Kluyveromyces lactis: one gene and its partners. The protein of the gene in region 4 interacts with the protein of the main gene of each other region in a biochemical or structural test. Links are inferred from orthologs where the notes say so. Each region holds a gene or a part of one and is shown on either strand. Other genes may lie near its edges. The genes, in order: TIM13, MGR2, PAM16, TIM23, PAM17 and COX4.

Evidence for each region.
Region 1: the proteins of TIM23 (region 4) and TIM13 interact in a test that uses a peptide from one of them, tested with the Saccharomyces cerevisiae proteins (2 studies listed by BioGRID, with this or other methods). The link is inferred for Kluyveromyces lactis from reciprocal best matches to the Saccharomyces cerevisiae genes TIM23 and TIM13.
Region 2: the proteins of TIM23 (region 4) and MGR2 form a complex in vitro, tested with the Saccharomyces cerevisiae proteins (2 studies listed by BioGRID). The link is inferred for Kluyveromyces lactis from reciprocal best matches to the Saccharomyces cerevisiae genes TIM23 and MGR2.
Region 3: the proteins of TIM23 (region 4) and PAM16 form a complex in vitro, tested with the Saccharomyces cerevisiae proteins (2 studies listed by BioGRID). The link is inferred for Kluyveromyces lactis from reciprocal best matches to the Saccharomyces cerevisiae genes TIM23 and PAM16.
Region 5: the proteins of TIM23 (region 4) and PAM17 form a complex in vitro, tested with the Saccharomyces cerevisiae proteins (2 studies listed by BioGRID). The link is inferred for Kluyveromyces lactis from reciprocal best matches to the Saccharomyces cerevisiae genes TIM23 and PAM17.
Region 6: the proteins of TIM23 (region 4) and COX4 are reported together in a solved structure, tested with the Saccharomyces cerevisiae proteins (2 studies listed by BioGRID, with this or other methods). The link is inferred for Kluyveromyces lactis from reciprocal best matches to the Saccharomyces cerevisiae genes TIM23 and COX4.

What each region holds. Positions count from the first base shown.
Region 1 is NC_006042.1:1,406,461-1,409,370, reverse strand, and holds TIM13 (protein translocase subunit TIM13), read right to left. Parts: upstream 1,082-2,910; coding exon 776-1,081; downstream 1-775. Other genes in the region: QCR9 (ubiquinol--cytochrome-c reductase subunit 9), read left to right, coding at 1-84; APS3 (Aps3p), read left to right, coding at 1,935-1,956, 2,032-2,573; CBP4 (Cbp4p), read right to left, coding at 2,900-2,910.
Region 2 is NC_006041.1:2,160,625-2,163,518, reverse strand, and holds MGR2 (Mgr2p), read right to left. Parts: upstream 1,208-2,894; coding exon 845-1,207; downstream 1-844. Other genes in the region: INA17 (Ina17p), read right to left, coding at 44-520; tyrosine--tRNA ligase MSY1, read left to right, coding at 1,535-2,894. UniProt on the Saccharomyces cerevisiae protein: Required for cell viability in cells lacking mitochondrial DNA.
Region 3 is NC_006042.1:1,282,220-1,285,407, reverse strand, and holds PAM16 (import motor complex subunit PAM16), read right to left. Parts: upstream 1,131-3,188; coding exon 711-1,130; downstream 1-710. Other genes in the region: transcription factor HAP4, read left to right, coding at 2,161-3,188. UniProt on the Saccharomyces cerevisiae protein: Essential component of the PAM complex, a complex required for the translocation of transit peptide-containing proteins from the inner membrane into the mitochondrial matrix in an ATP-dependent manner.
Region 4 is NC_006042.1:577,834-581,333, forward strand, and holds TIM23 (protein transporter TIM23), read right to left. Parts: upstream 1,739-3,500; coding exon 1,079-1,738; downstream 1-1,078. Other genes in the region: RRT12 (Rrt12p), read left to right, coding at 1-380; KLLA0_F06061g (uncharacterized protein), read left to right, coding at 2,880-3,137. UniProt on the Saccharomyces cerevisiae protein: Essential component of the TIM23 complex, a complex that mediates the translocation of transit peptide-containing proteins across the mitochondrial inner membrane.
Region 5 is NC_006037.1:561,255-564,693, forward strand, and holds PAM17 (Pam17p), read right to left. Parts: upstream 1,477-3,439; coding exon 886-1,476; downstream 1-885. Other genes in the region: SYP1 (Syp1p), read left to right, coding at 1,893-2,813; KLLA0_A06127g (uncharacterized protein), read right to left, coding at 2,834-3,343. UniProt on the Saccharomyces cerevisiae protein: Component of the PAM complex, a complex required for the translocation of transit peptide-containing proteins from the inner membrane into the mitochondrial matrix in an ATP-dependent manner.
Region 6 is NC_006040.1:436,948-440,245, reverse strand, and holds COX4 (cytochrome c oxidase subunit IV), read right to left. Parts: upstream 1,594-3,298; coding exon 1,129-1,593; downstream 1-1,128. Other genes in the region: TPN1 (Tpn1p), read right to left, coding at 2,340-3,298. UniProt on the Saccharomyces cerevisiae protein: Component of the cytochrome c oxidase, the last enzyme in the mitochondrial electron transport chain which drives oxidative phosphorylation.

The DNA of each region.
Region 1 (2,910 bases), about 830 kb from region 4:
AACCACAACAAAGGTAAGTTATGGAAAGATATCAAGGGTGGTATCATGAACGGTGGTGAAGAAGATGAAGAAGACGATGAATAAGTTTCTTTTGACATTTGAATTATATCATTTCTCATCATTATACTTTTAAGTGTCTTTTCATTGATGCTTTTGTTCAATTATTTTACTTCTTAGAATATACCGTCACTTCAAAACATATTTTAAAAATGTGGATACGCTACTGTCGGGAAACATTTATCTATCCGGCACTCCATACGTCTACCAGGCCTAGGACATCAACTTTGGAATGATGTTCTCAGATTTTCATAACATTCATCCTTTTCGCTATCGGAATCTCACTCGATTCAAGAGATAAAAAGGGTAAAACATATATGACCATAAAGCGTGAATATCTGCGCATTGATGTTCATCTTATTTGTTGTTAGCTGTTTTTCCCTCTACTCCTATTTATTTTCAACTCACTTATTTGAAATCTCATCAATCAATCACATATGCGGCTCAATTGTATTTAAATACAATGTATTGTTTGTGCTGTTTCTGTGTATTAATCATGTCTATACGATAATAAAAAAGAATTACCCATTATTTGTGTACCAATACCGTACTTTTGTTTATATATATATACCTGAATTTATTCGACGGGTATGAAATAGCATTCATAATGTATGATTATACGTAAGACGCGAATATAACATTATACAAATCTATATACATGTAGCTTGTAATGAATCAGAGCATTAAATAACTTCTTTTATCTCAAAAGTTGCGCCCCTTAGATTTCACCGTTAACCGAAGCTTGCTGAATTCTGTTAATGTAAGCCTTTGAAATGGCATTCCAACTTCTCATATATTTAGCCAAACATTGGTCGACGCAGTTATCTTGAGAAGCAGCATATGGAGCATTCAGACATTTCTCAAAACAGTTCTCAGTGACTTTGTTAACTAACTCGGTAGCATTGGCGATGGCTAATTCTTGAGAGATTTGAGATTTAAGTTGGGTCTTGACATCGCTAGGACTGGATGTGGCTGGGGTACCAGATGATGAAGAGCTACCACCAAAGATCGAAGTTAAAGCCATATCTTAATGTGTTCTATGATAGATTATTGATCCGATGCAATGTTCAGAGGGGCCTGGATGATAGATTATAGCTGTTAATTGTAGATTGCCAATGGATATTTCAGTTTATGCTAAAGCTTCAAATCATTAGTTTTTTTTTTCAATATGAGGAAGAAACATTCCTTCACATCGAGCAGCAATGGAAGGGATAGATAACTATTGTTTCAGCCCGTTTCACAACCTCTCCTTTCCTGCGATTTACCGCGTTATTGGAAGATATGTTTGGAAGTTCCCCAGAGTGATTTACTTACTAATATGAACCACTGTCCAAGTACTTGTCACACGGAGCATATATGTAGTCGCATGATTATCATTACGTTACTGTACCCCAAACTTAGTACAACAGACATCAACAAATACTAGGCATCGGTGGTTTAGTGGTAAAATCCAACGTTGCCATCGTTGGGCCCCGGGTTCGATTCCCGGCCGATGCATTCTTTTTCATTATTCAATAATTTATTGAGCACTCAATTTTTTTATCAAGCGTTGCTACCTATTTCATAAACTGAATCCACTATAGCATTTCGATTCATTCAATGCAAATTCAATAGTATCGGTAAGGTTTCACTAACGGCTCTCGATGTGTTTCTTACTCGTTTTCTTTTATTGTACAGAAAACCCATCTTTACAATTCTCAGCATGAATCCAACATTTGAAAATCGAAAGTGCCAATTCAATTGAAATAAGTTAAAATGATGATGAGAAGTTACAAGTATATTTTGCGAAGAATAGTAGATAGATATCATTGAACAAGGTAGTTCAATAACTTGCCTTTGATAACAGACAAGCACAGACCAATTGGCAACGGCCAGTCATGATTCATGCAGTATTAATATGTATGTAAAGTGTTACCAAGCAATACCCTAGAAATCAAGCTTTACTAACATTTAATGATGATCCAAATGCAACAGTTAACAAGAAATGTCAACCAAGATTGATAAAATTTTATACACCTGTAGAGGTTGAAAAGCAAACGCTTTTATTACAGCAAGTATATGAACTTATATCTCAGCGTAACAGTCAGGTGCAGTCATCTTTCTTAGTAACTCCTCCATCTTTATTAATGGACTCAGGTGATAACGAAGATATTCAAATCATATACAAGAACTACGCCACGTTATACTTCACATTTATAGTTGATGAACAAGAATCAGAACTAGCAATCTTAGATTTGATTCAAACGTTTGTAGAGGCATTGGATAAATGTTTCGAAGAAGTGAATGAGCTAGACTTAATCTTCAATTGGCAAACATTGGAAAGTGTACTTGAAGAGATTATCCAAGGTGGATTGGTGATAGAGACCAATGTAAGGAAAATCGTAAGTGCTGTAGATGAATTGAATAACGCTAATGAAAGTGAAAATTCTTTCACCAAACTAGCAGGGAATCGAATCTCTGAGGCGTTCCAGGCGTTCAGTTATTCAAATTTCAGTGCTTGGGGGTCACATCAATGATAAATCAGAAAATAACCCCGCTATCTTAACGCCAATGTCATATTAATGTTGATAGGCCTTGCAGCATAATAGTTAATAGTGGATTATAATAATATCATATGAATAAATAAAGTCGAAACTCATGGAAAAATTATATACACTCCATTGATTTCGAAAACAACGATAAATAATATCTACAGGCGGTTAGTAAAGTAACTTTCAGATAACCGATTCATCAACGTGGATGGATTGGTTTCCGCCATAAAGTTTGAGGAAAAAATAATGCAAATTGAGCTCTAAACTCGGTTTCGAGAGAAATCCGATATCGAAACGTAGAATACCAGCATTTACCACAGAC
Region 2 (2,894 bases), on a different chromosome or scaffold from region 4:
CAATCTCTAGATGATTCAATAGAGGATCATCCCTAGCGTCAATTTACCAAAATTTATACCACTTCCTGCTTGACCTTTTAGAATTTTTATCTGAAGATACCGAAGAATTGTGTGCTTCGTTCAATGCAGCTAGTTCGCTTTCCAACTGGTGCACTTTATGCGTATATTCGAGTTCTTTTTCCTCGTAATCTAATTTCCACCATACATAATGACAAGAAAGATATACGATAGAACCCATTAGTAGAAAGATCCATGCTGGCCTAACAAACTTCTTGAGAGAAGTCTCCTGTGTCTTCTGTTCTTCTGCCTGTAACTGTTTCAACATCTGTAGTTCGTTCTTAATATTAAGCTCGTTAGTCTTGTCATTGATTAACTTACTAATTAACTTAGGATCCACGTTATCGAGTGATTGAAGCTTGGCAAGATCTTCTAGAGTCCTGATCTCTATATGGGCATTACTGTTATTAGCAGCCGCTAGAAAACGGCGAGTTACGACTCTTTTCACCAACGGTCTGAACATTATTGTTCTACTATCTATGTCAACTTCTTCCAAATAGAAAAAACGGTACGAATATACCAAAGTGTGTGTTTACACCGTTCACTAACTGCAATGGAAACAAATTCTGAAGCTCGCAGTATGCCTTTGTGATCCCTACGTGTGTACTGTAATCTCCCCAGGTTCTTTACTTCATCAGCTCCTCTCGAAAAATTGATCATCTTAAATTCCTATTTACAATATTCATTTTACTTAAAAATATACCGAGAGGACAGAAATAGAGTAGATACGAAAAGATTAGTAGGTACCGCTGCCTCTGACCCATGTACAATTGCTGGGTAAAAACGCTTAATCCTTGTACAAACCATAAGTTTGTTTAGCTTTCCATACTTCAAATCTTGATCTCTGTTGCAATTCGGCCATCTTACTATGGTAGAAACCATTGTTGTGGGAGTTGTCGGAAGTTCCATCACTTCTAATGACAGAACCGATACTCATAAATAGGCCAAAAGTGGCAGCAGAACCAGCGATGTACTGCCCTAAGGTTCTCACAAACCCGTTTGGACCTGGGCCTTGTGTAACAATGGCAACACCACCGAATAAGATGCCAGTACAAACACCAACGGTAGTACCCATCATCAAACCCATCTTGAACTTTTCCCAGTTCGAAGGTTGTTGTTGTTGGCCGTAAACTTTTGGTGGTGGTGGCATTTCTGGTTCAAGTCGTGGTTCGTGTTATCTGTGCGCGCGTTAGTCTTGGATGTCTGGAAAGAGAGCGAGACCCTGGTTAATTCCGTTACGTTTTGTGGAGTTGGTCGTTCATACATTTGGTACAGTAATTTGATTCTTTTTTCTAGTTTGAAAACTTCGAAAATTTCGATTCGAGTCCGATTTGATGTGACTTTGAAGTTCAGACGAGAAAACTGCCTAAAGGTCAGTCTTGGACAGCGCCATTGGCCGTAGTAGGTTGTTAAAGCTTTATCTTTTTTAATATATACTAACAGTTGATCTTTCTGCTTTGAAAGCTTCGAAGTTGCAATGATATTTGGGAGGTTGCTTGTGAGAAATTTGGCAACGAAATGCGATGTATTGCAGGTTCTTCGAGAGAGAGGGTTGGTTCAGCAGGTTTCACAGCCGGAGAAGTTATTGTCTGAGAAACTGAGTAATGGTGATAAGATCAAACTATATTGTGGAGCAGATCCCACTGCGAAATCTTTGCATTTGGGTAATTTACTGCCCTTAATGGTTCTTTTGAACTTTTATGTGAGAGGGCATGACGTCGTTTCGTTAATTGGTGGGGCCACCGGCAAAGTTGGTGACCCAAGTGGGAGGAAAACTGAGAGGGATGTTATCGCTGAAGCAAAGAGACAAGGGAACATTGAAAGGATTGTGGAACAGTACAAGACATTTTTCACGAATGGATTGAAATACTACGAGTCTAGGATTAAGGAAAGAGATGCACCAGGTAAGGTCACCTATCTAAACAATATTTCGTGGTGGCAGGATGTTAAGATGTTAGATTTCCTTGCTACTTACGGTAAACATATTCGTATACAGAACATGTTGAGTCGTGATTCCGTTTCTTCGAGATTGCAAAGTCAAGATGGTATTGGTTTCAACGAATTCACGTATCAGATCTTACAAGCATACGATTTCTACCATTTGTACTCAAATGAACAAGTGTCCATCCAAGTTGGTGGTAACGATCAATGGGGTAATATTACAGCGGGTATCGATCTTATCAACAGAATTTCTCCCCAGCATGTGAAGACTCGTCCAGCTTTTGGTTTAACGGTGCCCTTATTGACGACCTCCACTGGAGAAAAATTCGGTAAATCGGCGGGTAATGCAGTATTCATTGACCCTGAAATCAATACCTCCTATGATATGTATCAGTTCTTCGTGAATACTACTGATGCAGATGTGGCAAAGCAATTGAAGATCTTTACTCTGTTACCGTTGGAATTAATTGAAGACATCATGGCTCAACACGCACTATCGCCAAATGAAAGATACGCTCAAAAAAGGTTAGCTAAAGAAGTTGTGGATCTGATTCATGGAATTGGTAAAGGTGACGATGCAGAGTTTGTATCGCGAATTTTATTTGGTGGTTCAGGTTTTGAAAACGTTAAGGCAGCTGAACTGATCAGAGTCTTCGATGAGAATAGAATTTTGAACAAGATACCGATCAATACGCCATTGTCTGATATTGTGTGTCAATTGATCGATTGTTCAAAGACTGAGTCCAGGAGGAGAATCAAACAAGGATCCATCTATCTAGGACCAAATAAGAACAAAGTAGTGGATGACACCACAAACTTTAGCCCGTTTTTGATAGATGAAAGGGTGCTTTTGTTGAGGGTTGGTAAACAAAAATGCTATGTCATTGAATGCATAT
Region 3 (3,188 bases), about 700 kb from region 4:
CTTACAGTTCAAAGATTGGAAAATCTTTTTGATGTTTGTTCTTAATAAACCAATCATCAGTAGTGGTTAGTACTATCTCAAGATAATATTAATACACATATACACCATAGAAACCTACGGTTTCGGTTATCTCTTTTCTCAAGAAGTTTTTCCTAGGTTTCTTCGGAGATCTAGGAACGGCTTTAGTTAATACTGGAGAAGAGTGACTGTTACCATTTTTTAACCCATAGCTGAATGGATCCTGACTAGCCCCAAACAAGCTGGCCACAGTTTCCATTTCGTTTCCGGTTTCTTAGATCAATAAAGTTGGAAGCGCATTGAGTTGGGAGGGGAAGTCTCTTCCTTTTCCCGGTTTTTTGCATCACTTCTTTCTTTTAACCATTATGAAGAGGTCTGGAAAGTGATGATTAGAAGCGGTTTAACAGCTCGCTCTAGTTGTTCTTCCAGGTGTTGCATGTGATCCAGAGGGCTTTGCGTAATGGCTGCCTGAGAGTTTGGATTTTCACTCTCCGTTGTGCCCTTCTTCATGATGGAACAGTTTTCCCATCTTCTAGAGAATTTTTGTATTAATTAGTTGTAGACATAAATCAGCTTCATCAACCACTGATGATATTGTGCTGAACATGATACGATGAGCATGCGATGCGTGTATTTCGGTTTATTTGAACTATTTACAAAACTTATACTAGGCCAGAGAGAATGACCTTACGCTATTTTTTCAACTCCGGTGACTCCGTCGTGGAACTCGACTTCGCTTGTTCTTGATTCAGTTCTGGATTGGCAGCCTTTTCCTTTTCAGCAAGCTCGTACTTCAAACGCTCTGCTGCCCTGTAAATCTTACTCTGCAAGTAGAATGATCCACCTTTCTCTTTATCGTTGATCTCGAACAAATACTTGAATCTTTCGTTGATTTTATCCAAATTCATATCCTGTTCATTCTCAATGTTCAAAATCTTAGAACTCTCATCTAAAGTGATACCTCCGTATTCTGCGCTAGCACCACGGCCTCTAGAAGCATTTGCCGTTTGTTTAGCTGTTTGAGCTGCTGCTTGTCTGTAAGATTCCGCAAACGCACGTCCAAACACCTGTGCCCCGGTGAAAATCACCTGTATAAACGCTCTGTGTGCCATATCCTATAGTCTTGTTGTATTTCTTGGATATGCGCAGTTTACTCGAACTGGAACGGCGTTCTTAGACAAAGCTTAGAAGTTAATCCGATGAGTAGTTTAGTGTTTAATGCTGTTATTAGTTCCAGTTCTTTCTGTTCTCAACTTTTCGATGACTTTTCGAAAACAGAAGGGGTTACCCGGGGATGTCAAGACCAGCCCCACATATTTGCTGTGACACCGTCAAATAACTATATATCTGGTTGACAGCTATGCCTCATTAGAATGATTTAGCTAGTCTACAATGACTACAGATGGAGTTTGTAATTGCATTCGCTCATTCAGGCTTTTTATAGGGTATTTTTATGAGGTTTTAGCTTCTCATTCCACATTGTAGAATGTGGCATCGGAAACGACGCAGGTATCAAGAAATTAAACGATAGGTGATCCCAGCAACAGCAGCTACGCTGCTGTTGCATTGATTGGGGATGTGAATTCAGCATGCTAGTACTAGCGTAGTACTGTAACGGGGAGGAGGGGGGGGATCCAGTTTGGGAGCGTGGCTTTGTATCTGGGGTCATGGTCACGTGATCAATTATTAGCAACTCAACACCCAATCCCCATTTCAAACTTGAGATACCTCTTAGTACTCAGGCCATACTATCTTATGGCCTGAGATATATAAATTCATGATGGCTCGTCTTGATGTATCATGCCCTCATTTTTACCATTGTTCCCCCTCTCTCTCTCTCTCTCAATTTCGGTTTAAATTGAAAAGTTGAGTAGTTAATTCTACCGAAACAAACGACTTCTCCGAAACTAAAACAGGTTCTAACAGACACACAAGGACTCAACAAGCGTGATTCAATCGTATCGCAGGTGGTTCAAACTAATTTAGGTTGCATCTCGCCGTAAGGTTTTTGTATCCTACTTTCAAACGCATACTTCGCAACTCTGGTTACGGCTCCGGTTCCGAACCAGTTAATATTGTTTTCGCTGGTCCGGAGAGAATTCTATAATAAAAGCACTTCAGACACAGAGTAAGAATTAACTAATGTCCAGGCCAGTTTCATTGGAGCCCCTTCACGGACACACTGGGCCTCATCAGCAGATTACAATTGCTCCTAATTTACAGCCGAAGAAACATGAGAAACCCACTGGGATCACGATTCGAACGTCTAGGCACTGGGTTCTTCCACCGAGGCCTAAACCGGGTAGAAAACCCAGTCCTTCTTTATCGATAAAGCAGCAACTGGCAAATGTCAAGGGTATGGCTGTAGAGTCCACTACGCCTGCTTCTGCTTCAAGTACTAATGCCAAGATTAAACAAGAACCTGTGGAATCAGTGAAAGAAGTTGAGAATTTGAGACCGGGATCGAAAAAACACTTGGCTGCCACTGTTATTGATTCTGGTAAAAGTTGCTCTTCTTCTGATCAAGGTACAGTAGCGTCATCTACAACGACTGCAGTCCGTACAGGAGTGCCAACCGCAAGCTCCTCATCATCATCATCATCATCAACTATCCCGTTGACTAACTGTAAATCTACAAACGCCAAGTCAAAAGCAATACAAGTTGAACAGACAACATCGATCACTCATACCCAGCCTAAGCCCATCCGTGCCAAAATTGCACCAGCTGCTTGCAAGAAACAAGTCATGCCAATTCCGACCTTAAAGCCATCAGCTAAAATGGAAAGCGCAAAAGTTAAGCCACAGGTGAAAATGGAACAGCTGGATGTTACTTTAGATCATATTCAATCTGCACAACCCGTGGAGCCAAAGAAAAAACCAGGTTCCAAAACTGCTTTGAAGAAAGAGATCAAGATCCTTAAGATGGAAAACAATAAGCTTAAGAAGGAGCTTACCGATCTAGTGGGTAACTTACAGGAATTGAAACGTCAGTTCCCTATCGTACCAGAAGAATCAAATTCTAAATCTCCACATACCATAGTACCAAGTGTCAACAGCAGTGTTCCAATGCAACAGAAGATTCTTCCAAAACCAATGACAAATAAATCGTACCATGAGCCAGTACATGTGAAGCAAGAACATACTGAGAGATTGCCTCGTAAAAGATCTAT
Region 4 (3,500 bases):
TATTGAGTGGAACATCAATGGCATCTCCAATAGTAGCAGGTGCAGCTGCCATCTATTTGGATCAAGGTGCAGACCCTGCTGAAGTGAGAAAGATATTGAGTAAGACTGCTACGAGAGGTGTTTTCAAGAAGAGAGCTATTGCTGTAAGACCAAGAACTCCAAATAAGGTTCTCTATACAGGAAACAATCAAGAGGATGATGAATTTGCTTACGCAGTTTACCCGATGATTGATGAGATAAAATTCATGGATCAGTTAAAGCAAGCTACAAGTCGAGTGAAACCGCCAAGTGGCGAGATGATTAATCTAGTAACACATGATAGAAAGATACTTAAACCACGATTGAGTAAGTTCCTAAAAAAAGTGAGTAACAATTCTTAATATATTGACATACATAATATACACTTTGTTTTCGTTTTAGAGCAAGAAATCGTTTCGTTTCGTTTCGTTTCGTTTCAGGAAGACACATGCCCTTTTATTCACATGATATTAATTTATGAGCAAACTAGTGATGAAGTGTCTTCCTTCGTTAGACCATTTCGTTGTAAGTTCGTCACAAATGCTGTTATAATTTGTTATAATTGCTAGAGTACCAGCAAGGCCCGCCTGGAGAGGCAGATAATAGAAAAGAAAAATATTGACGAAAGATGACTTTATTAAAATATATACAAGACCATGTATCTCTAAACAAGCTGCTGCTTTATTTCTAGCTCACTCTTTGATGCTTGATTTCAGATATCGACAGTCTCAAGAATGGTGTAGAAAATGGTAATGGAGTAGGAAAACATGCATGGCGAGAATGGTGCTGTGGTGGAACATAGCATGAATTTGCTAAAATTGTCATCATATTGTACATTATACGAAAGGGGAATTCAACATGCAAACGTAAGATAAAATTGGATGAAATGGGCGGTCAGTAAATACGAGACATTAGGGGCATATTTCACATTTGAAACAGGATCCTCATGCAAACCATTTCTAAGACCCAATGTAATAGTAGTGTAGAATGAAAGGAAACGAAAAAAAAAGTTTATCGTGTGTTTATATATCCACAGGTTTATCCTTTTCTTTCTTTCAACTTATAAGATTACAGACTTGATACCGCACCATCCTGCAGCAGCAGCAGCCATCAAAGCGGATGCGTAACCCATTGGTTTCAATCCTCTAGAAGATCTGAAAATAGCACCAGTTAAAGCACCAGCTGCCACTGAGCCAGCAACATCATGCTTACCTCTGAAAGAATCGATCACTGAGTTGATCAAGTTGTAAGTTAAGGCCAACACACCAGCATTGTTACCCAAAAATGGACCTCTTCTTGTGATATGGTTTAATACTGTATTCAATTGCAATTTACCTGGTGAGTTAGGTGGGATGTTCTTCAACCCTTCAATGAACCCATAAGAACCACCAAGACCTAAACCAACCAAGTATACAGCACCAGTACCGTAACATAAATCGTCTGTCCAACCTCTAGATGGAATCAAACCTTGAGAACCTTCCATTGAAGAAAGCTGTTCTTCTTCCAAATCCATATACTCAACACCACGCTCTAGCCCTGCTAATGGGTGAAGCTGTGATGGACTTAATCCTCCTGGAACAGAAATAACGTTCGACACATTCGAAATTGATGATGGATCGAATCCTAGAGTTTGTTTCAGTTTATCATCATTTTGTTCAACTGGTGTAGTATTTTCTTGTGAGTCTGTAGATGACTTCTTACCACCGAAGAGCCAAGACATAGCTATACTTTATTATTATTATTATTAGCCTTAGTTTATATGGTATCGGTCAAAGGATGAAAAATCAGGAAGAGATTAGACCCGGTCCGTATTCGACAATAATGAAGCCCTGTATTTATCGGAGTATTGCCTTGATAGACTGAAATGCAATGGTAACCTAGCAAAATACCAATACGGAAAAGATGTCTTTGTCTTAGTATCTACAACTCAAACCTTCGAGGGTGATTCAACGTATCATACTACTACTTTAAACACTTTTCGATTGTAAAATTATATTTCACTAATTTTTCAAAATTTCAAAATATTTCAAGAACTACGGTTTTTTTTTTCTTCCTCTTGTTTCTTCTTGCTTCACAAGAGACTCTGTGATTTCAAGACCATTCAAGGTAAAATCAACGAATCGTACAAAATGATGATTCATGTAACCGGAACCGTTCTGCAGATGTAGCTGACCTCTGTTTTGAGCGCAGCGAAGGGTAAACAGAGAGAAAAAAATTTGTCATTTCATTTAGCATTTCTAGCGACAAAAAAAATATTTAAAACTGACGCCCGCCATGAGACAATGTTATTTCACACGACATTGCAAAAGTTATCACTGGGTTTCCAAACAGATATCAACTGAGGTATCTTTGGATGAAACTTTACCTACGCAGATTGATAGAAATCTGTAAAAAGGAGCGCATTGCCCTTAAATTCGTACAAAGAATACAAAGGAAAATTGGGGATTTGTTAGGAAACGACTTTTCTGAAATTATACATTTTCAAACCAGTATATATATATAAAGGGATCCGTATAAACCTTTCATATCAATGTACTGTCGCTAATGTTTTTTTTTAAAATCGCCTGGGATAATTTGTGAAAGCATTTCAGATACTAAGGTAGCATACATGCACTAACGCATTTCAAGGCTTCACACTTTTGAATAAACATAAATTTAATATAAAGAGTGCAGTTTTACATGAAAAGGACGCTGGAACATATGTCAGTCTGCCCCTCAGAAAAACTCCGATGAATAATTTAGAGAATCATCAATTTTCATTCTCTGATGATTTGTTACACTGTGATTACACGATAAAACACAAGCTGTTAACCCGCTTTATGACGAAAAGTTTCACCCAGTGATTGAAATACAAACAAAAAATGGCAGAACGTAGTGCTAGAGTCCAATTTGATTTGTTCGAGTCCGAAAAAGTGTTGTTGCGACACAAATGGATCAGAATATTAGAGGAGATTGACTCCGAAGTCTCAGTGACGCTTGGATTTGATCTATACAATACTAAGAAAGAGGATACGAAGTTGCACCACTGCGAGTTGAAGAAGGTGAACCAAATGAGAGTCGGTTACGACGAGTTCCTATTGAAGAAAATTAAGGAAGCTGGAATACAAAATGCGAAATGATTTCTATCAATCTAAATTTTCATTCCAACAGCTGCTCACCCCTTGTATGCTTAACGCTTTTTTCTATACCGTTGTAACAATTTGTCTATAACTTAACTATCTTTCTCTCATGTCAGTCAGTTTATACTATTTCCGCTTTTTTTTTTCTGACGTCTTGTAGTCGCAAACCACAAGAAACCGCAAGTCACGTGATCTCAAACCCTCATCTATCGCTAATCTATTCTAAAATCCAATCGTTGCAGCTTTCACATAAATAACCGCTGTATATCAACCGAATACAACTACTCCATTTCCTTCATTCAAAGATTTGTTCCCTTAAAACGCCAAACGTTCTTTCAGTCTAAAACCAAGCGCATTGCGGTT
Region 5 (3,439 bases), on a different chromosome or scaffold from region 4:
TCAAAGTCACGTGAGTAGAAATGAAGATCACATTGTACGGAAATCCGTTATGCGTTCCTTTCCTCAATCAAACCCGCGACATCAATGAAAAGAACAGACAGAACAGCCGGGTACCTTGAAGAAGAACTTCCAGAGAGCCATTTTATGGTATATAACTGGGGTAAATAGACCCATATTCAACCGGTAGATTATCGAAGAAACCCAGTTAACCCAGTTAATAAAGGGGCTACACTGCGCTGGAATATAATAAATTGAAATGAAGAACTACTCCCAATTTAGTTGAACTACTAACAGTATAAGAACTGGGTGTGTGGCCGAGTGGTTAAGGCGCCTGCTTCAGGGACAAGAAATGAGCATGCGGACTCAATGCGGCATCAAAACCGTCTCCGTCGCTTTCCAATTGACACATTCTGCTTTACCTTTGGGGGGGCCAAGAAAATTGCGATAGCCGTTTCCTTAAACCTTTAAACAGAGGTTTTCTACGCAGTTTTGTGCGAGTTGTAAGGGGCCTGGTCCGAAAATCAAAAATTTGTGGGTCCTCCAGAAAATCTTCACTGATTGCTTGGCGGCTATTGGGTGCGGGTAGAGCAGAAGTGGATTGCGAGTGACGGACACGGTTACCCGGAATATGCAGGTCTGTTAATGTTAACAGGCGCGAGTTCGAACCTCGCCGCATCCAAATATACTTTTTTTTGTTGGGTATCGATCCTTTTCATTCCGGTTTCTCTGGCATATACCATTACGCAATTGCTAATGCTGATTTAACGAATGTTTCTTTAGATATCAACCACTATTTATTATTTACTATTTACTTGTACTTACGGAAAGGCGTTTCCTTGGGTGGGAGAGTGATAGTCATCATACTTTTTCTGGTATTTTTCCGCTTCACAAGAACTCACTAGCCTTTCTTTTGTAAGAATGACAATCTCTTAGCCATTGTCTGTACTGTGGTATCGAATTAATCTTTTCACCGTAGTAATCCGGCACAGGGTTACTGAAAGATTGTGATTGAGGATTGACTCTGTTCTTTTGGATTTTGGCCAAAAATGAAAGTTGCTTCTCTTGAAACTGTAATAATTTGGGACCGGAAGTGGCCTTAAACAATGCAGTACCCACAATTGGTCCCAATAACCAACCAACAGCAGCACATGTGATCATACCAGCAGTAATTGCCATTAGTGGATCGAATCCAAAGATTGTTTGAGTTGGATCGATTTCCAAAGTGGAGAAGTAAAACCACGAACCGTTAACGAATACTATGGCTGTCGCAACCGAAGAAGCCGTGTTGAAAACACGTTCTTTTTTACGTAGCTTGAAGAATTCTGGCCATGTCATTTCATGAGAAGCTGTCTTACCAGCATTAGTGCTATTCATTCTGATGGCAACGGCATTGCGTGTAACGGCTCTTTTCAAAAGAGATTGTCCATTTAGTCCAACCAAAAGACGGTTCTGTAGATTGATTCCTAGTCTCAACATAGTTTGGGCTATTTTTCCGTGGTATTTGGTTCTTATTGCCTCTGATATCCGAGTATACTACTTATCGAGTAACACAGCAGAAGAATTGGCTGTTTGATGCTAGTTCAAACAGGTGATCTGGATCCACCCCTCGAACATTCCTTATTGAAATCATGTTATAAGCTCATTTGGTAGCTTTCCAAACTTTTTTTTGGAATTGACAAGCTTCAATATCCACGTCCGGGTAATGAAAGTACCGCTTTTTCCAATCTCTTGATCAAATGGTGTTATATCTCGAATAGATCTTCATTTGATACAGATATATGTTACGTCCGTTCATCATTGCATGATACTTTCACTATTCTAAAGCTGTCTATTATAGTTATAGGTTATATTGTTTGCCTTGCACGTCTCAAAAAGTAAGTCTTTCTGTTATAATGTCTGATGTTCTAGCTTTTGCAGAAATAGTGCAGGGCTATATTCAATCGCTAGAAGAACTCAAAGAGACAAAATTCGATAGTAATAGTGAATTGTTCTCTGAAGTGTCCCAGGAACTTGTCAGATCCAAGGAATTACTGCTACAGTTACAGGAGAGGGAGAATATACTGAAATTGAGAGAATCAGGACCAGATTCAGAGTCACCACCATTACCAGAGATTAATGGTGATATAGTAGAGACTTTGTCATGTGTTATCACAGACGATAATATAACGAACGTATCACTTGTTGGCGAAGTTGCCATCAATGGTACCAAGTGGGATCAAAGAACGAGTGATTTGTATATGAAATTCAATAATGTTAGTTCCGTTAAGATTAACGACACATTCCTGGAGCCAGTGGATGTGGTTCAGAATATATACAAATTGAAACGTGAACGCGAATGGGACAACGTGGTTACAGGATTAGTGAAATATGCAGTGACAAATTTACCACAGGTTCAATGTCCGATTCTAGTGACACCCGTATGGCAGTTCAAAGAGGCCGAGATCATCTCAATGATCAATTTAAGACCTTTAATTCCTGTCAATTATACACTATTGAAAGTTTGTATAAAGATAGGCACCAAGGCCCAAGATATTTTATCTAAACCTACTGGATTTTATAACCAAGTGGATGGTACCATCCAATGGGATCTGCCCATGCTGGAACAGGATCAGATTCTGATTTTGAGATATAAAGGTGGACAACGAACCGATGTTGTCACATCTCAAGCAATTGGGCCACCGCATGTTCGTATAGATTTTACCGCATCACAGCTGTTGACACAGGTTAACGTGGAATACGGATATTCACCAACCAGATTAACGGACCTGCCGTTAAACGTAATGACTATTTCTGGGAACTATAAGGCCCAGTGATTGTCAAGCGTTATCTTTACTCAGACTATAACCCTTGGCAATCTGTACTTTTCGTTTCTGGACGATTTAAAAGAGATCTCAGACGATGAGGAAGATGTCGAGACAGATGACACAGGAGACACGGATTTCCTGGGTAGCAGCGGTAACATTTCCGCGACAAAATCGTGAACCCATCTCAACTGGTATTCCGTCAAACAAGAGAGTTTCTCCGAAAGGTACGGCACCACTAGACAAACGGCATCCGAACTATTAGAGCTATAATCTTGGTAGTAATCGTCATCAACAGAAGCAATATCGGGAGTTTGCATTCGTACCACTGCATTCGTGCTCATCCAGCGTTCGATCCTTCTAGTGGGGTCCTCCTGTTCCATTTCATCGTCGTCGCTACTAGAACTCAATACCAATGGGTCATTCACCACATGGTACTCGCCAATATCTAAATCAAGCCACGCTTCTTCGGATAATATATCATCACTTCTGGCGCTGGTGCGAACCACACGTTTGCTGAACCTTCTAACACCAAATGACATCTGGAAATGCTCTCAACCTGTTAAACCACCAAATAACCTTTATAAGACCGGTTCTGGTCTATATATTATTGATTTGAATTTGTACTTGAACTTAAA
Region 6 (3,298 bases), on a different chromosome or scaffold from region 4:
ACAAAACTTATCTTTAAATTTTTCAGTATACCAGAGCTGTGATTTAGGAAGAGCATTTCACCATACAAAATACGGGCTAACCCTAGACGCTACGGCGAAGGAAGTGCAAACGATACCATTTGGCAAGGACCAGTGGCTTACGGCAGAGGGTTGAGGGAGAGCTGAGGCGAAGAGTGAGGAATTGGGCGGAGGTATGGTAGGACCTACACCAATGGATTGGGACTAGCTTCCCGTGCGGTTCCAATTGGCAGGCAGAGATGGAGCCTACCCCTTCTTCCTACACAGGCATGTATGTCTCTAGAAGGGGCCATTCCCAGACAGGAGCGGAGTATTCCCTAGATAAATTGGTAAATTTGGAATTTCCTAATACGTTAAATTACACTTTTCTTTCGCTTCAACTGTTTGGGAGAAACTTTTTTAATATTTGAGTATGTATGGGTGTACATTTTTTTGTTTTTCCTTTTATCATCAACACCACTTCGAAACAGTCCCTGAAAATGAACAAACCCTTAAAGTGCCGATAAGTCCATCTATCATTGGGGTAATTCCCCTTCATAGATGATATACATATAATCTGAAAAGGTTGCTTTGCAACTACTAAGTGTTTTGAATATTCGGTAATTACTTCTGTATCGGTAATTGTCATACTGACCCTCGGTGTCACCTTGAAACAAAGACTTTTTTTTTTGAAATTTTATTGATAAAATCGTACTTAATTTAAATAATGAGTTCTTACCTGTGAAATGTAGTATGTAGAGAAACAATGTGTAACATAAGTCTTTAATTGGTTTAAACGATCCGGGGGGGGAAAGAAATAGAGGCAATTGGTATAAAATATGAATCAATCATTCTTTTAAAATTCAATAGATCTGGCCTGTTCCCCGCTTTCCAAACATATAAACAAATCTTGATTATGTGCAGGACCAGTTCAAGTATATGTCCCCACTAAACTTTTTGTGTAATTTGTTGCTTCAGCTTGTGTAATTTATTATTTTGTAATATTTTAGAATAGGTTTGTGTATTTGACATTTGTATTGGAATTTTTAGAATGATATAGTGGTACACTGGTTGTTAATCCTTTTTTTACCAGGATAAGTGGGAATGATATGGAAGGAAGGATTAAAATGCTTAATGGTGACCTTCTTGAGGAACACCGACCATCTTAAGCTTGTATACACAACCGGTTTCCCAACATCTGGCGACTTGACCGTCGGTTGGCTTCAACCACATGACGTTGTGAGAACCAGCTGGGGAACCAGTGGCACCGACATAACGGTAGTCATCGTAGGATTCAACAATGATTGGGTTTTCCATGGTACCGATTCTGGAAGAGTCCAATGGCTTGGTGTCGAAAACTTCGATACCTTCCAATTTACCCAACAATTCCAATCTGGCTAAACCAGTGGCTTGGTCCAATTCGGTTGGAACTTCACCGTCTTTGGCACCAGGACCAATCAAAGTGTCAGCACCGTTAACTTCAGCCAACTTGGTAGCAGTCTTAACAACTTGTTGATCACCTGCAACCTTGGTGGTAGCAAAAGCTCTGGATGCTGGGCCGAACAACTTCGATAGGGATTGACGTAGAGACAACATTATTTCTTCTTTGTGATTGGATTGATAGGTGATAACTTAGATACTCCGATGTGTGAATCTAAAACGATGGAACAAAGGTATATTTGAATTGTAATGAACTAATCAATTAGCAATATATGACAAAAAGAACCACTTGGATACTGTAAGCTAGCTGAGACAGATAAGGTGATCAGTTGAATATATTCGCAAATGAAAGTAATCGGCGAAAGAAAACCCTCTGAAACAAACGTATGACTCTCTTGAACAAACTTGATAAAACGTCTTTAGCTACTTTCTAAAACTCTGAAATCACTGTTGAAAATATTATTCATATATATACATTCGGTTCCAATATCCTGCGAAAATCAAGAAATGAAAATTATCGCTTATAACAAAAAACGTACAAAAATCACATCATGTTTCCCAGTATGATTGGAGCAGGGAGAAGAAGGAAAGATACAAAAAAGGTGTCTACTCGTACATAGTGATGTACACATTTTTTAGCTGGAGTAGTCTTTCGTATTTGTTTCTATTTTGTTTCCGGCGAGAGTAGGATCTAGTGTGGGTGTTGTCAATTGAGTGAGAATTCTGCGATATGGTTGGCTAGAGGTCATGTGATTTATATAGGCAATGCCATGCCATTAATATTAAAGAGATTATTCATTTGATCTGGCGCGCGTCGCGTGACAGGTTATATACATATATGTGTGTACATATATGTGTGTTTCTATTATATGTGTATAATGTCAGATAATGGGGAAAATGGTTCACCTGCCAAATTTCTTCAGTTCGCAGTACCTTAGTGGTGGATATGATACTCCTGCGAAACCCATACCGAGCCACATACCTAAATCTCCGCCATACTCGCCAATCTTTGCGGCAAGTGGCCCCACGTAATACGTTTGACACATTCCAAGTACCACACCAGCAACACCGATGCAGAACGCAGCGGATGCAGCCAATCCTCTTGTGATGACTTCAGAGTTGTCCCATTCATCCCAGTTGTACCTGTGGATGTGCCTTGGTAATTTCCTTAGTTTATGATGTGGTTTCACTTCTATGTCATTGGGGAATTCCAATTTATATAGATGGTGGAACCAGTTTCTAAAGATGACGTTCTCTTCCACGAGTAAGATGAAGTACATGCTAATCCAGTAACCAATCATAGGTAGGAAATTTCCCAAGATGGTGGAAAAACTGTTTCTACCTACTAGCGCACATACGAGGTAAAAGATGGTACATCCGATAGCCCAGATCCAACGAGGCACCTTGGCTAACATCACACTTGATAATTGGATGGAGAATGCTGCAGAGTATGTGTTAACAATATTATTCGAGATTAAAGATAAGATCAATACAACGACCAAAAATTTCCCAAATCCATTCCAACGAGAGAAACCAGCATTCATGAGACCACCCATCCCATATTCATCATATGCAGCTTGCCAAGGTTCGTAGGACAGTGAACATGATGCCAGTAGAAGACCCAATACACCAACGAAAGTGGTTGGTACCGCAGTTCCGAAAAATGTCAATAAGAAGACTTGAATCTGAGGAGTGTCCTCGGGGAACAAGATATAGTAATCTGCTGTGATGGAACCCCAAGTTGATGTGATACTGTAACACAAAGAAAAGAAGGATAACCAGCAACCTTTCACAGTCAGTGAATCAATGTCACTATTACTGAATTCGTACAAGTACTTGAACTTGTCACTTGCTGAGATGT